Linked DNA regions of Diceros bicornis minor. The protein of the gene in region 1 interacts with the protein of each later gene in a biochemical or structural test. Links are inferred from orthologs where the notes say so. Each region holds a gene or a part of one and is shown on either strand. Other genes may lie near its edges.

Region 1 (8,128 bases):
AAGGAACTTCTTCTTCTGGGGATGCCCGCTCCTCTTCCTGAAGAGATGGTCCTCGAACTTCTTCAAGTTCATTGCTGCCAGCACTGGCACTAGCACTGGGGCTGGCGCTGGCACTGGCACTGGCATTCACTCTGGCTTGCTCAGGTTCATGCTCTTCTCTCCCTGGCAGAGTCTCCCAGCTTTCACCACTGGATGACAGATTTTGCTCCCGACCTCGATATTTCCGACGCAGAGCAGCAGTCCACTCTTTGTCACTGTCAGAGTCTTCACCAAAATATTTGTAGTAATCATCGCTGTACGTCCAGAAGTCAGGGTCGGCCATGGTTCGTCGCCGTCTCGGCACCTTTTCTGGCTTCACTTGGTCATTCCTGGCTTCCCTCTTGTCTTCAGGGTACTTAGGCTCAGAGTAGCCACTTGAACTCTCGCCTCTGCCTCTTTTGGCTAGGCTATCCGAGTGGCCGTCATCAGTGTTGGCAGTATCCCTCCACCTGGAAGTACTGTGTGGCATATCATCATCATCATCAGTATCAAAAAACATTTTTGGTTTCACACAGTTTGGACTTGCCAGATTTCTGATTTTGGGCCTCACCACTGGTTCCTCTGCACCCTTTGGGGTGTTTTCCCCACCACCACAAATACTCACAGGAGCCCTGCCCGGACGTGCAGGCAAATTCTGCTCCTGTCTCTCCCGCTCCAGGCTATTACCATTTGTAGCCACTTTGCCTTCATCAGCAGGTGTCTGAGAGACCATGCTATTTTGCTGCAGAAACTCAGCTCGGCTAGCAGAGCATCTTGCTGCAGGGGCTGGGTCTAACTTGTCAAGCTCCTCTCTCACATCACGGTTAAAACTAGAGAACTGTGGGGGCACCCCAGTCAGAGACCTCACCCCTTTCTCTGGGTCATACAGCTTATCATCTTTAAACTTGCCAGTTTTCCCTCTCACTGGTGCTCGCTCAACAGGCCCAGCCCCCTCCTCCTCACTATCATCTGCCCCGAAAGAGTCAACATGTCCATAAGCCATTCCTCTTCTGCTACCCGAAGCCCTGTACTCGCGTGGCGGGTACCTGGTGTAGTCCTCATTGTCAACATTCAGGCTGGTTCCCGAGCTCTCACTGTCGTCCCAACTACGACGAGTGGTGGAAAATGGCGAGCGGCTCCTCTTGGTGGTTTGACTGGGGGCTGATCTGTGCATTGAGACTTCAGATGTCGTCTTTCTCTGACTGGAAATTCTTTCCTGCTGGCTCGTGGACGGCCTGAAACTGACATAAGCATGCCTCCTTCCATACCTCCTGCCTGTGTTGGACTGATACCCTCCTGCTGGCTTGGGCCATACAGGCTTGCTAGATTCCTGACCCATTGCTCTGACTTAGGAGGGTTTCCAATACAGCTTGGGGCTCGAGTGGAAAGGCTCCTGCTCCCTGTACACACTTTGGAGATGGGAAAGTCAAATCAGTTCAGAATAAAGGAGCAGGGAGATTTACTTTCACTTCAGCAGGCAGGTAACAGAAAGAATAAGGGGCCTTTTAAATTAGTTTCACTTTCTTCTAAGGCCTGGAGTAGCATTCCAGTGACTGTCAGGTGTAGACCTGGAACACATTTTTAATGTTGGCAAAATGATTACAAAACTGGATTTGCAGGAAAGCCACACTTAGAGGAGAATCTGACAGAAGACGGGGGGTGACTGGATGCTTGGAAGGGGGGTGAAGTACTGTGGAATTGTGCCAACATGGGAAGAAGAAAGGCTGCTGCAGGTTTTTTACGGGGTGTCTGCGTTTTTTGGAGCCCTGCAGACATACAGGAGAAATGCAAATTGGAAAAGGGTGGAAAATATAGATCACCATGTGTGCAGGAGTGCCTATGTGTCTAGCAGGAGGAGAGAAGCAGGTGGAAGGGGGACCAGCAATCATGCAGTGGAGAGATGTCTGTGTTTGTAGGGGGAAGGAGCATGTGACAGTGACATTGGGAAGAGGTGTGAGTGTCAGAATGAGACCCATTCTGAATGTATGAAAATGACAGGTGTGGATGGGGTGGCTTTAGAGGAGAGAGGTGTGTGTGAGTATGAGAGAGAGAATGTGTGTGTGGTGTTGTATGTATGGCAGCTGGAACTCTATGCAGGGATGCCTGTGCTTATGCATCTGTGGCAGGCAAGGAAGGGTACGGTGGCATTGGACAGGGACGTCCATGAGTTTGTGTGTGTGTTCATCAAAATGGGAGGCAACAATGGAGAAATGTCAATATGAGCAAATGCATCGATGAGGACAGCACTGGAGAGGGATGTGCTTGTGGCGGGCAGGCGGAACAGGGGCCAGCAATCAAAGAAGGTCTGTATGCATGAATGTGGCTAGCAGGGAAGGGGGTGGCGTCCCTGGAAAAGGATTTATGTGAGTGTGTGCACCACAGGGGCCAGCAAAGGAGGGCTGTCTGTGCATACAAGTAGCAGACAGGGAACAGGAGAGGGGAGCATTTAAGAGGGGTGTGTGAACAAGTGTGTGTGGGGGCATATGTATGTAAGCAGCATATGAAAGAGGAGCCAGCAATTGAAGGATATCCTTATGTGTGTATGTGGCAGGCAGGGGATAAGATGGTCCCAGAGGGAGGGTGAGTGTGTGAGTGTGTGTGTGTGTGTGTGTGTTCTCCAGAGCATGAAGAGGCAGAAGGAGGAGGGGGCCGCTTCTGGAAGTGTGTATGGGACAGGAAGTGAGAGGTAGGGAAAGGCACTGGACGGTATGACAATGTGTGAAAGGGTGTGTGTGCGTGTGTGTGTCCATGCATGCGCGGGGGAGGGGATGCATCGCAACCTTGAGTATGGGGAGATGGAGAGGGGGCTGCAATGGAAGGTTTCTGTGCGTCTGTGTGTGTGCATGTGTGTATGTGTGTGTATACGCGTGCATGTGTGTGTGTGTCCCCATGTGCGCACTTGGAGACATGGGGGTGGGGGCGGCACAATGTCATAGTGAGAGACAGGAAAATGTTATCAGTCCAAACGGTAGATCCAAACCAAACAGATATGACAGGGAAGGGGAAAAAAGAAAGAAAAGGGCGTATGTGGATATAGTTTTCCCGGGGGAATAATTTGTTTTTCTGCCAATTCTTTTCCTGGGAACAATATATTTACCTAAAAATCTTAACAATTTACCATTCAGCAAAACAACTGCAAAATGGGGGAAGAAAGGCCACGGAGTGCTGCGCAAAGGGGCCAAGAAGGGAGGAAGGAAGGGGGGGAGGAGAGGCAGAGAGAGGTGGGAGAGGGCCGTGACACCACTCCCCTCTCATATAGCGATTAAAGCCATTCAAGTGGGGGCCGTGCCACACGAAAGGGGCTGGAGGACGGAGGATGGAGCCCCAAAACAGGCCAATGGAGGACACAGGCCTCACTCTGCAGTCAGGTCCCGCGTCCGCCCCACCCCTTCCCGAGGGGCGAGCCTGAAAATCTGTCCTATAGAGCCCCCCACAATTCTCGCCTCCGTGCCCAGCCACCCGCCCATGCCCGGCCAGTCGTCCCACTGCCGCGTCTGAATAAATCGAGGAAAGAAACCGCCTTTCACTCACCCAGTCCCGACCCCCGTACGCTCTCGAGAGGAACAGAGCTCTCAGACCTCCGACCGCCACGACCGCCAGAGCCGCTGCTCCCGGGTCTCCAGCTCCTCCCCCGCCAGACAGCAGTGGGGCGGGCGGCGACTGCGGCGGCGGAAGTGGTTGTGGCGTCGGCTGGGGCCCGCCCCCTTGATGTGGCGGGGGTGGCAGCCGCTCTCGACAAATCAAGGAGGGCCCGAAAGCATTATTTCATTTTAAATGATGAAATCGTCAAGGATACAGAAAAGGACAGCGAAAAATGTAACCAACAGCCAGCTTTAACAAATGTTAAACATTTAGCCATATTCCCTTCTGTTCTCGGTTTTTTTTTTTCCAGTAAAATGAAATCTGCAATTCTTTCTGATTAATTCCAATGTGAAAGTAATTATATGACTATATCATATCCTATGTTATGTGGTATGGCTTGTACTGGAAGTATTAAAAATGTGAAACTGTATTTAGGGTTGCAGTAAGCTTAAATTTTTTTAACCTGGTGGTTGAAGCAAATTGAACTGTTTACAGTAGAATTGTTGCTGTTAATCGCAAAATCAAGTTTCTTGACTGAAATGAAAAGAAATGATCGATCATGAAGCACACACGGGTTCACATTCTGGTCATTGAATTGCTGTGCCTTTTAGAGTTATACAATTTTCTTAAACTCTGAACTCTTTTTTATAAATCGCACTTTACAATGTTATCTCTAATATTTACATTGAATGTCAAGACATCTATGTTCACAACAATAACAAAGTTTTGTTCTGACTGGAAATAAAATGTAAAATAGAAGAACAAGAAATTTTAAGGGTAACAATAGAATAGAAATAGGCTGTATAACTTTCAAACCATTAAAGAAATAATATGTAGAACAAAGAGAAAAACTCAGTCTAACAAAGGGTAGAAATGGGGTGGGAGGCAGCAAGAAAGGATGTTAAAAAATAAAAAACAAAGGGCAGGAATAAATGCAAATACATCAGTATGTATTATGGGTTAATATCTCCTATAAAAAAGCAAACTCTCATTTTGAGCATTTCGTTTTTAGAAATCCAGTTATATGCTGTTTATATGAGTTTCACCTAAAGCAGAAATAGGAATAGAAAATATATGCCAGTGAAATACTAGCGGGAAGGAAGGAAGAAAAGAAGAAAGGGAGGAAAGGAGGGAGGGAGAGAGGAGAAGGAAGGAATTTAGGGAAAAAAAAGAGAAGGAAAGAAGGAAGAAAGGAAAGATACATGTAGAAATATTAATATCAGAAAAATCAAAAACTCAAAGTAAAAAGCATTAAAGAGAACAAAACAGGTTGTTTCATTCACTGAGAAGATATAGTCACTAAAATTTATATGCCAAACAATGTAATTTCAAAATAAATGAGGCAAATATTATTAGAAATGTAAAGAGAGATGAAAAAGTCTGCAATTATCGTGAGAGATTCAACCGCACTTGTTATGGTATAGATAGATCACATAGACTGCAAAGAAACGAGGATATAGAGAGATTGAACAACACACTGAACAAGCCTGATCTAATGTATACATATTTTTTGGACTCAAGAAATGATGTATTTTTTTATAAAAAATATTTCAAACATACAGAAAAGTACAGAGTATAAAATGCATATTTGCATGTACCTGTCACACAGGGTGAGCAAATTTTATTTTCTTCAGATCCTCAGATCCTTCTGTTTTTGAAACAAAATATTAGAGTTGAAGCTCTCACTTTATTCTATTCATCTTCTTTTCCCAAAAGAAGCACTGTTTAGAAGTTTCCTTCTTGTCCGTGTTTTTCTTTTTCTACATATGTATATATCCATAACCAATACACATTATTCTTTTATGTATTTTAAATTATTTAAATGTTATTATAATAAATACATTCTTTTGCAACTTAAATTTTCACTTATTTTTTTTGAAATTTAGCAATTTGATACATTTAGATCTAGGTCATGCATTTTAACTGCTGAATACTATTGTATTAATTTTCCAATATAGTATTACTATAATATATTATATGGACATCTGTTGCATCAATTATCCAATTTCTTTATCTCTTTCCCTGCTGATAGACTTGGGTTGTTTCTGTTTTGTGCAATTATAAATGAGGATTTAATGAACATCCTAGCACATGGCTCCTCGTGCCCATATGGATGAGTTTCTCTGGGGCAAACCTTCCCAACTGGGTAATGGGTATTCTGACATATCAATGCCCTTAGCTCTCCAGGAAGATGGGCCTGGCTTCACTCAGCTGCTGCCCTGGGGACTGTTGCCTCTGGCTAAGAGCAGACTGTCTGTTCATCCCAATGAACTGGCACAATTATTAGCATTTTAACATATGCTCTGACGTGAAAAAGATTGGAAAAAATTGCTCTAGTGTATGTACATTGAAGTGAAGTTTCTGGGTCAAAGGGTATATAGTAGTTATCTATTGCTGTGTAACAAATTGCCCCAAAACTTAGCAGCTTAAAAAAACAAAGATTTATTACATCAGAGTTTCTGTGGGTTAGGAATCTATGCACGGCTTACCTGGGTGCCTCTGGTTCGAAGTCTCTCATGAAGTTGCACTCCAACTGTCATCTGGGGCTGCAGTTTCATTTGCAGGCTTAATTGAGGAGTGAGGTCCACATCAAAGCTCTTTTACTTGGCTGTTGGCAGGCTCAGAAAATCCACTTGCAAGCTCACTCATGTGGTTGCTGTCAGGCTTCAATTCCTTGTCATGTGGGCCTATCCACGGGCTTCCTGAGTCTCCTCACAACATGGCAGTCGGTGAGAGAAACAGCCAAAGAGCACCTAAGATGGAAGACATAGTCCTTTTATGACTTAAGCTCAGAAGTGACATCCCAACACTTTTGCCATATCCTAGTCGTTGAAAGCGAGCCACAGAATTTGTCCATTTCATCTAAGTTATCAAATTTGTAGGCATGGAGTTGGTCATAATATGTCTTTATTATCCTTTTGATGTCCGTGAGATCAGTAGTAATGGCTCCTCTTTCATTTCTGTTATTCGTAATTTTGTCTATTCTCTTTTTTCTTTTCTTTTTCTTTTTCTTTTTTTAAGTAGGGGCAGTATCTTTTTTTTTTTTTTTTGGCAGGGAAAGATTCACCCTGAGCTAACATCTGTTGCCAATCTTCCTCTTTTATTTTCCTCCCCAAAGCCCTAGAGCACAGTTGTATATCCTAGTTGTAAGTCATTCTAGTTCTTCAATGTGAGCCCCTGCCACAGCATGGCAACTGATAGACGGGTGGTGTGGTTCCACTACCAGGAAATAAACCTGGGCTGCCAAAGCAGTAAGAGCACCAAACTTTAACCACTAGAGCATCAGGGCTGGCTCTACTCTCTTTTTTTCGTGGTGAGCCTGGCTAAAGACTTACCAATCTTATTGATCTTTTCAAAGAATCAGCTTTTGGTTTTGTTGATATTCTCTATTGTTCTGTTTTCAATTTCATTTATTTCTGTTCTTTTGTTATTTTCCTCTGCTCACTTTGGATTTAATTTGCTTTTCTTTTTCTAGTTTCCTAAGGTGGAAGCTTAGATTATTGATTTTAGATCCTTCTTCTTTTCTAATATATGTATTCAATGTTATAAATTTCCCTCTAAGCACTGCTTTTACTGCATCCCACAAATTTTGTTGTTATAGTTTCATTTTCACTTATTTCAAAATATTTTTTCAATTTCTCTTAAGACTTCTTCTTAACCCATATGTTATTTAGAAATGTGTTGTTTAATCTCCAAATATTTGGGAATTTTCCAGCTATCTTTCCGTTATTGATTTCTAATTTAATTCCACTGTGGTCTGAGAGCACACTTTGTATAATATCTATTCTTTTAAATTTGTTAAGGTGTATTTTCTGGCCCAGGATGTGGTCTATCTTGGTGAATATTCCATGTGAGCTTGAGAAGAAAGTGTATTCTGCTGTTGTTGAATGAAGTAATCTATAAATATCAATTAGATCCAGGTGATTGATGGTGCTATTCAGTTCAACCATAGCCTTACTGATTTTGTGCCTGCTGGATTTGTCAATTATTGATGGAGGGGTGTTGAAGTCTCCAACTATAATAGTGGATTCATCTATTTTTCCTTGTAGTCCTACCCATTTTTGCCTCATGTATTTTGATGCCTTTTTGTCAGGTGCATACACATTAAGGACTGTTACGTCTTCTTGGAGAATTGACCCCTTTTATCATTATGTAATGCCCCTATTTATCCCTGATAATTTTCCTTGTTCTGAAATCTGCTTTGTCTGGAATTAACATAGCTACTCCAGCTTTCTTTTTATTAATGTTAGCATGTATCTCTTCCTCTATCCATTTACTTTTAATCTGTGTCTTTATATCTAAAATGGGTTTCTTGTAGAAAACATATAGTTGGGTCTTTTTTTATTTTTATTTTTTTTTGTGTGTGTGTGTGAGGAAGATCAGCCCTGAGCTAACATCCATGCTAATCCTCCTCTTTTTGCTGAGGAAGACCGGCTCTGAGCTAACATCTATTGCCAATCCTCCTCCTTTTTTTTCCCCAAAGCCCCAGTGGATAGTTGTATGTTATAGTTGCACATCCTTCTAGTTG
Region 2 (8,412 bases), on another chromosome or scaffold:
TTGCATCTCAAAGAGGAAGCCCTGTACTGGCTCTCTCCTCTGCAGGTTTTGGAGAACACATGCCCTCTGACTACTCTCCAGCTCTGAAAGCATGCCTGCTCTGGTTGTTGATTGAGTCCCAGGGAAGGAACTAGAAAGGAGGGAGGATCAGAGACACAGGACCTGTGCAAACCCACCATCTCCCCAGGATTCCTACAGCCACCTCTAGTGTACCTCTGATTATTATTTCTATTTTTGTGTTTATAATTTTTGTGTCCCTCAGGACCACCAGTTATGCCTATATGGGCTCTTTCTTGTCTGCCTTCGGTATTTTCATATTTTCTCTGATTCTTTTTTTTATTCTTATCCCTTTCAATTTGTTCAGTTTTCTCAAAAACTGTCTGCCTTCAGTATTTTCATATTTTTCTCTGATTCTTTTCTTTTATTCTTATCCCTTTCAATTTGCTCAGTTTTCTCAAAACCTGTCTGCCTTGTCCCTCTCTGGGTATTAGCTTTGTCTGTTCTCCTTCTTGGTGCCCTTGCCCTGTGAGGGTACCTCTGCGTTAGGCTAAAGTGAAGTCTAGAAGGAAAGAATGAGGTTTCTGTCTTCTTGCATGGTGTGGCCAGTGGGGAGATGCTTTGGATCAAACATGGAGAACACAGCTACTCTAGAATAGGAGATGCTTTAAAGTGTGTTCTAGGTTGTCTGAAACTCCTTTCTGCAGAGGTAGATCACTACGTTAGATCATATGTACATTCTATATGGAAAAACAATCTGTCACGATCTCTTTCTTGCCCTTATTGCCTGCAACTAAAATCGTAAACTTCTCAACCACAGAACACTGCCAAGAAACATAACAAAAATGTCAAATTAGATTCAGATCACCTCTCGTTACATTCAAATATCCTTATAGGTAATATTAACCTCGTCTAGCTCCATTCCTTTGAAATAATCTCATTCCTTCGTACCCTCTTTTCCCCTGCATAATGGGTTTGAATACTGTTTAGCTAGAATTTGTGCAGTTTCAAGTGAGAGAAAACAACTTCCAGCAGATAAAGCAAAAGGAGATTTTACTTGCTCCAGTAACTAGTTATCCCCAGGAGTTCTACCTTGAACTCAGGATCCAGGGATTCAGATGAAAGCATTAGGACTGTATCCCCATCTCTTAGAGCTCGTTTGAGTTGGCTTCACCGTGAGGCAGGTTATTCCCAAGCAAAGGCGAAGGTGGCTAGGCTCATATCACCCTTCAGCTTGTTCGCTCAGAGGAAAGAGAACCTGTAAGAACTCCTGAAAGGATGATGATTGGACTTCCGAACCGGTCACTGTGGCTGGCCTGAATCACGTGCACCCAGGAAAAGGCGGCAGAGCCTTACCAAGGTCTCCCAGAGATGGAAAGAGGCAGTTCCTAAAGGAAAAGGATGCAGAACAAGGAGCAAAAACAAGCAAATAAAAAGAAACACACTGGCCACTACAGAGACGTTATGTGTTGGTAATTTTATAACTTAATAGGCCTTAATGATTTTCATAAGTAAAAGGCCCTGGGTAACGGAAGACTTATATTTCTTGAAAAGAGAGTCTAAGAAGAGGCTTCTGGACCAAATGGCTACAATGCTTGGAAAGAGCTATCTCCTCAAGCCCCACCTCTCCACCCCTTTTCCACCAGCCAAGGAAAGCTCTGTTGCCATTTAATCAAAGTATTCTTTCATGAGAGACTAAGTGTTATTAGGTAGTCCTATCACATAATTTAACCAGGATGCATCTTTGTTATGTATGAGTGGACACAAGGGATTTTATTGCAAGCATTAAAATATCTGGACTGTTTTTCCTGCTATCTACCCACCAAAATAGTATCCCGGGCCCCTCGCCAACTACTTTGCTCGCCTGCTGCACACTGTCCCACATTCTTCCACTGGAAAAGGCAGCAAAGCTGCTCATATATGGTGGCTGCATGCTTTTATCATTGCTTTTCTTCCCGCAACGACCTTACCTGCTTTTTGCGCTAGGTTGCTGTCAGAAAATTTAAAACCTGTCTCTGGTTCTGCAAGAAATGCCAGTGAATGAAGAGGAGAATCCAGTAGAAGATAAAGATGATTAGAGCTTCTTGGCAGGCATTTGCTACCAAGGAGATGAAATAAAGCAATTAATTACTGAGAGACATCTAAAGAGCAATTGGTAGTAGGCATTTCTTTGTTCAATGCATCTGAAATCTTAGCTAGCTTAGCTTTTGCCTCAAAGAATTATTATTTTTTTTTCTTTTGGGTCTAGTAATAAAAGTATTAAGGTCATTAACATAAAGTGTTTGAAAATGTTTTTCTTTTTTTAGCCACTTGTCTTTATTACTTCACTGGCTGAAAAAAAGTCACGAAAGTCATATTCAGATCACACTGAATTTACTGAAAACTTGAATTGTATAACTGCTATAGCATGGTTTCACTGTGAAGTTAAAATTCCTTGAGAATATATTTTTATCTGCCAAGAAAGATTTCATTTTTGAAAGAAAATAACTTTAATAGCATCTTGATATATTTCTTTCCAGACTTTTTTCTGATTTTTGTGTGTACTTGTGTTTTACTGCAGTAAACATCTTTCTACATACAGCTTTGTATAGTCCTCAAGTATTTTCCTTAACATAAACCCCCTGGAAAGAAGCACATGGTTATCAACTACCCTGTCCCAGCCCTGTGCTAGGACTTGGCAAACCTATCTCACTTAGTCCCCTGAAGCCTGGATGAGTAATCTTGGAAACAGAAAGCAGTGTCAGTAGCTTTCTGGATGTCATACAGGTTTCTAATATAGGTCCATCTGACTCCCAGATCTTTACCTTTTCAAGGACACCATATCTACCTTTTCAAGGACACCATATCTATGTTCTCTCTGCAATCAGCAGATGGTTAGGAGCGGTCTCTGGAGGCAGACTGCCTTAGTTCAGATCAGATCTACCACTTACTTGCTGTAGGACCTCAAAACTGTTAACCTTCTTCTCTGTGCCTCAGTTTCTTCATTTATGAGAAGAGAAACAGTAAATGCACAGGCCTCATAGGGTTGTTGTGGGATTAAATGAAGTAATACATGAAGACCACTTAGAATAGGGTCTGACCCACTTACCTTTGAAATAATCAGTAGCTGTTGTTTATATTTATTATTGTTAGTGTTATTATTACCACCATCATCACAACAATTTTTCCTCAAACTCCATGGCTTCCTGTGTCAATCTAAGGTGGAGGTGGGTCTGGGTGACTTCTCCATGCAATGCCTAAACTTCATTCTAATACTGTTATTTTATGTCTGTATTTTCTCACCTGCATTCTTCTGGACACAGCAGAGAGAGGTGTTTCAATACGTAAAACTGGTATCTTTTCTCACTCATTTTGAGTATGACAATCTGCTATCTGGGTAAAAGATGCAGCTGATGGACACTGCTGATTTTCACACAGTGAGTCACAGGGGTAGCTTGACCTGTGGGGCTACTTGGTAATTTAAGTGAATACCTTAGCAAGAAAAAACACTGAAAAACCAGCCCAACTGTTGACAATGGCTTTCATCTTATTTTCCATTTTTGTTATCTCTTGGTTGCTGAGTTTTTTTTTTACTCGGGGTTCAACATTATCTTTCTGGAGGGACTTTTTGCAGAATTCTTGATCACAGGAGGTTTCTTTGAACTTGAGTCCAAATTTTAATTTGCAAGGAAACTGAAGCAGATGAATTTTCTTATTGTAAAAAAATGAATGCCTCCATGATATATTTGTTTTTCTTAGTAGGCTTCAGTCATTAAGATTGATGCTTGGGGATTTATTGTTAGATCTTGTGTGGAACAGAAAGTTATTACTCATAGTTTACCAGATTTTAGCATACTTGCATCACAACACGGCATATCATTTTACATTTAGTATTGCAGTCAGGGCCATTATCAGATTGCATTTTCATATTGAATTACAAACAAAAATTTTATGCTACTAACATTTAATGAAATTTTAATAACATTGTGTTTTGGTGCTATTATTCAAATAATGTGTTTTGAATTGCTTCCTTTGAATATATTTGCATTAAAGAGGAACTCAATTTGATTTGGTTCTTTGAAGAGTTTACCCACTTTCTGGGTAGCTTTAAAAAGACAGAGGGAAATTCAGTTTCTTCTTTACAAGTCAGTAAATAGAAAAGCAACACATTTGCTAAGATCTGTAAAAATAGTGGCAGCAGATTGCAGATGGTTTGAGTTAATGAAATGACTCACGTTGGCTATTAGAGTTGCACAATAAAAAATATATATACAAAGTGCACACATCACAGATTATGAGGGATGATACTCCTGGGTTCTCTTTTCTTTCTCATTGCGCCCTAAGGCTGATATATTAAGAATTAAGAAATTTAAGAGATTCACATTATTGCAATTCTTGATCAGTGATGCCCAAAATTAAATGGTAATCTCTTGAGAGAGCACATTTCTGTTTGTAGCATTCTTCTTACCCATTTCTGCTACAATCGTAGTTGTGGGCCCAAAGGCAGTTTACATGAGCATGTGCTTTCCAAAGACAGAATCATTTGACCAAGCAAAAACCCCTCACTGAAACGTTCTTTATGTGGCGGTTTTGTTGTAGTTGTCTAACTGATGGAGTTTAATGCATAGAATAGAAATACTGAAAGAGTGAAAAGATGGGAAAAGTCCTGCTTGCAAGGCAAGCTCTCCCTTTACCACATTCGTTTTTAATGGTCACTTAGAGGCATTAGAGAAAGTAACTGGTGGTAAACGCTTAAGAGCTTAAATTTAAGGGAGGGGAGGGAGTAGCGAAGGCAAAGCCAACTAGGAGTCCTCCAGGTCTTTCACTCTTTTTATGTCCAGTTTTGTGCAGAAAGAAATGATTCTGCTTCACTTTCACGCTCTCACCTTCCTCTTCACCTTTTTTCTCCCACAATTCATCCTGAGTTCCCTCCATCTAAAAATATTCCCGATTTTAAACTTCTTTAATACTCACTTTCTATAGTACCTGCCTGAGCCTGTGCGGTCCTGAACTCAGCCGCACACTCATTTAGGAGTTTTGGCTCCTGTTCTCTATTTGTAGGGTTTAGTAAGGACGCCACCTTTAATCTAATGTGACCCACAGGACTGCGCAGACACGCCTACTGCTTTCCGCCAACGCGCGGCGGCCGCCCCACTCCCCGACGCAACGCGTAGCCTCCGTGACGCAGCGCGCAGCCTCCGTGACGCAGCGCGCGCCCCCTCCGGCCCCGCCCAGGGCCGCCCCGACGTGCCGCGCGCCGACCCACAATCCCCGCCGTGCACTGTTCTCCCGCCGCCACCGTCCGTTAGGGCGAGCGCCCCGCCTGCGGAGTCGGCGCTGGCGCCAGGCTCCCGCCGCCGGTGACATGCTGCAGAAACCGAGGAGCCGGGGCCGCCCCAGCGCCCAGGCCGAGAGGGTGAGGGACGGGGGCCGCGGCGGAGACGGCCGGGCCCCGAGAGGCGGCGTCGCCGAGGAGGCCCCGAGCACCTCCCGCGGGGCGGGCGGCTCGCAGGAAGTCCGCAGCACCTCGTCGCAGGGCGCCCGCGGGGCCGAGGCCTCCCCCGCGGTGGGGCCCCGCTCGCAGAAGCAGCTGGAGCTGAAGGTGGCCGAGCTGGTGCAGTTCCTGCTGATTAAGGACCAGAAGAAGATCCCGATCAAGCGGACGGACATCCTGAAGCACGTCGTCGGGGACTACAAGGACATCTTCGCGGACCTCCTGAAACTGGCCGCGCAGCGCCTCGAGTACGTCTTCGGGTACAAGCTGGTGGAGCTGGAACCCAAGAGCAACTCCTACATCCTCATCAACACGCTGGAACCCGTGGAGGAGGATGCCGAGGTGAGAGGCGACCAGGGCACGCCCACCACCGGCCTGCTGATGATTGTGCTGGGGCTCATCTTCATGAAGGGCAACACCATCAAGGAGACCGAGGTCTGGGACTTCCTGCGTCGTCTAGGGGTGTACCCCACAAAGAAGCATTTGATTTTTGGGGACCCAAAGAAACTCATTACTGAAGACTTTGTGCGGCAGCGTTACCTGGAGTACCGGCGGATACCCCACACTGATCCTGTGGACTATGAATTCCAGTGGGGCCCGCGAACCAACCTGGAGACCAGCAAGATGAAAGTTCTTAAGTTTGTGGCCAAAGTCCATAATCAAGACCCCAGGGACTGGCCAGCGCAGTACTGTGAGGCTCTGGCAGATGAGGAGGCCAGGGCCAGGCCTGGGACCGGTGGCCCAGCCCCCTCCTCTTGAAATCTGAAATAGATTCACGGGGACTCCTGGGGGAAGGGTCAGAGGCACAGTGCGGAGGCCTGAGAGTTGGGGAGGGGGAGCATATTTCTCTAACGCTTAAATGTGTGTAGCTTTACGATGTGTTTGCAAACTTTTGTTCATATTGTAAATTATTTGGTTCCAAATTTTCACTTATAAAAATATTAGGGGAGGATTCATTTTGTTTTGATTTGTTTGACTGACTGTATTTTTTGGTATAAAAATTTTGCTAGCTTTATAAAATTAATTGGGAAACTTTGTACCATGATCTGGAACAGATATTTAAGAAAGAACACATCAGTAAATTGCTTTGGTGTCTAGAAAATAAAAGCGAAGTGGCTATTATCTGGCCTCTTAACTACCAACTACCCCAGTTTGTAAAGAAAAATAAAAATCTTTATAAATTAAAAATAAAGATGTAATTGCCTATATTCTTTTTTATCTTAGCATAGCTATTTTATATTTATGTACTTTATACGTATATATAAGCATTATGCCTTGTTCTAAGCAATGTATGGCATTTTCTCTGAATAACAATTTTTTTACATTCATAATTACTACTCAGCTCTGTGGCTGACTGTTTATTTCCATTTAGGTTTTTTTCTACTATAGTTACAGTAAATACTATATCTTTGAGGTAGTTAAGCATTCTGCATCTTTTAAATTGTGAGTCATGAGAAATTAGTTTCAGGATTCAAAACCAGCGTCTTGAAAAAAATGATTTTTGCCATGTATTATTAAGCTAAATAGTGTTTTATAGAAGTTACCTTACTTTTATATGTGTGTGTGCATATTGGATCATGATGTAAAATATATTTCTTACTTTGGGTTATAAAAAAGTTGAGAAAACTTTTATTGATTAATCATGCCTACTTGGAAATGAGACCACCTGGGTTCAGACCCTGGCCCCACGTAACTAGCTATATGAATTTTGGCGCGTTACTTAACTTGCATACAGACGTTTCCTCACCTGTAAAATGGGCTGATGATGCCTGTATTATGTGTAGTACTGTGATTATTAGATATGGAAGTATATGTAAAGTTCTTGGCACAGTGCCTGCTGTGGAGGATTTTAGGTGTTACTTTGTTCCTTAAAATTTTTTTAAATTTGTTTTTTATTCTCCTTGATCTGGAGTAGTTAATTTTGTTAAAGGATTTCTTTCATTATGTTGTTGTAAATCATTCCTACAATTGGAATTACTGGTTCAAAAATTATGACAATATTCTTCTAGTCTGCCTCTATTGTATGGGTTAATGGGGAAACATAACTCATGATACATGGTGAGTATAGCCCACATAAAATAGTAAGAGCAGGAAAGTTAGAGGACGATCTCCCCTGGGCTTTGAGAGGTCCTTGTAGTACAGTGAATAGGATACGGTTTTTGGGGTTGTCTGACAAACTGAATTATGGCTCAGAAATATGGCTATGTCAGCATGGTGATTTGGGGTAGGTTTTAAGCTCTCTGAATCTCAATTTCTTTATCTGTAAAATGGGAAAAATAATAACTATATGATAGTTTGTTATATGGATTAAATGAGCCCAAAGAAAAGAGCTTATTGTCTTCTCTCGTATTCTTCCACAGCCTCTGGCAAAATGCTGTTTATATACAGAGTTTCAACAAATAATTATTCAGTGGGTGAGTAAGTATAATTGTTTGGGGGGCAGGTACTGCAAATTAACCATGAAATGAGGTAAATACTTTAGCTCAAAAAAGAAGTGTGGACTTGGTCAACACTGGACTAGATGTCATCTAGAAGAGTCTATGGTGGGTGTGTGGTCCATGGAGGAATGTGATAGGTTACTGGGTTTTACGTCATTCTGTTGAATTGAAATTTGCATTTATTTCATCACTGGAGTATAGTGTGTCCTTGAATGTGTTTCTGGTTTGCTTTTTATTTCCACATATAAATTACCTTCTGGCTAAGCATCCTGCTTACTGGTCCCCTTACCTCACTGACTGCTTTTCCCTCTGGTGTGTTCTAATACTGGCCTTTTTTGCATCTGTATGGTGAAAGTTATCGGTACCCCGCACCCATTATCAGTTACATCTGAGGCACATATCTTCTGCCACACTTTTCTCATAAATATGTTAACAATTTACCATCAATGAATTATTACTTTGTTTTAGATTTTAAAATATAAAACATTACAGACCAGATCTTGC

Evidence for each region.
Region 2: the proteins of PJA1 (region 1) and NSMCE3 form a complex in vitro, tested with the Homo sapiens proteins (2 studies listed by BioGRID). The link is inferred for Diceros bicornis minor from reciprocal best matches to the Homo sapiens genes PJA1 and NSMCE3.

The regions. Positions count from the first base shown.
Region 1 is NC_080781.1:62,653,011-62,661,138, forward strand, and holds the start of PJA1 (E3 ubiquitin-protein ligase Praja-1), read right to left. Parts: upstream 3,634-8,128; 5' UTR 3,550-3,633; intron 1,587-3,549; 5' UTR 1,358-1,586; coding exon 1-1,357. UniProt on the Homo sapiens protein: Has E2-dependent E3 ubiquitin-protein ligase activity. Ubiquitinates MAGED1 antigen leading to its subsequent degradation by proteasome. May be involved in protein sorting.
Region 2 is NC_080744.1:79,174,771-79,183,182, reverse strand, and holds the start of NSMCE3 (non-structural maintenance of chromosomes element 3 homolog), read left to right. Parts: upstream 1-5,247; 5' UTR 5,248-5,341; coding exon 5,342-6,229; 3' UTR 6,230-8,412. UniProt on the Homo sapiens protein: Component of the SMC5-SMC6 complex, a complex involved in repair of DNA double-strand breaks by homologous recombination. The complex may promote sister chromatid homologous recombination by recruiting the SMC1-SMC3 cohesin complex to double-strand breaks.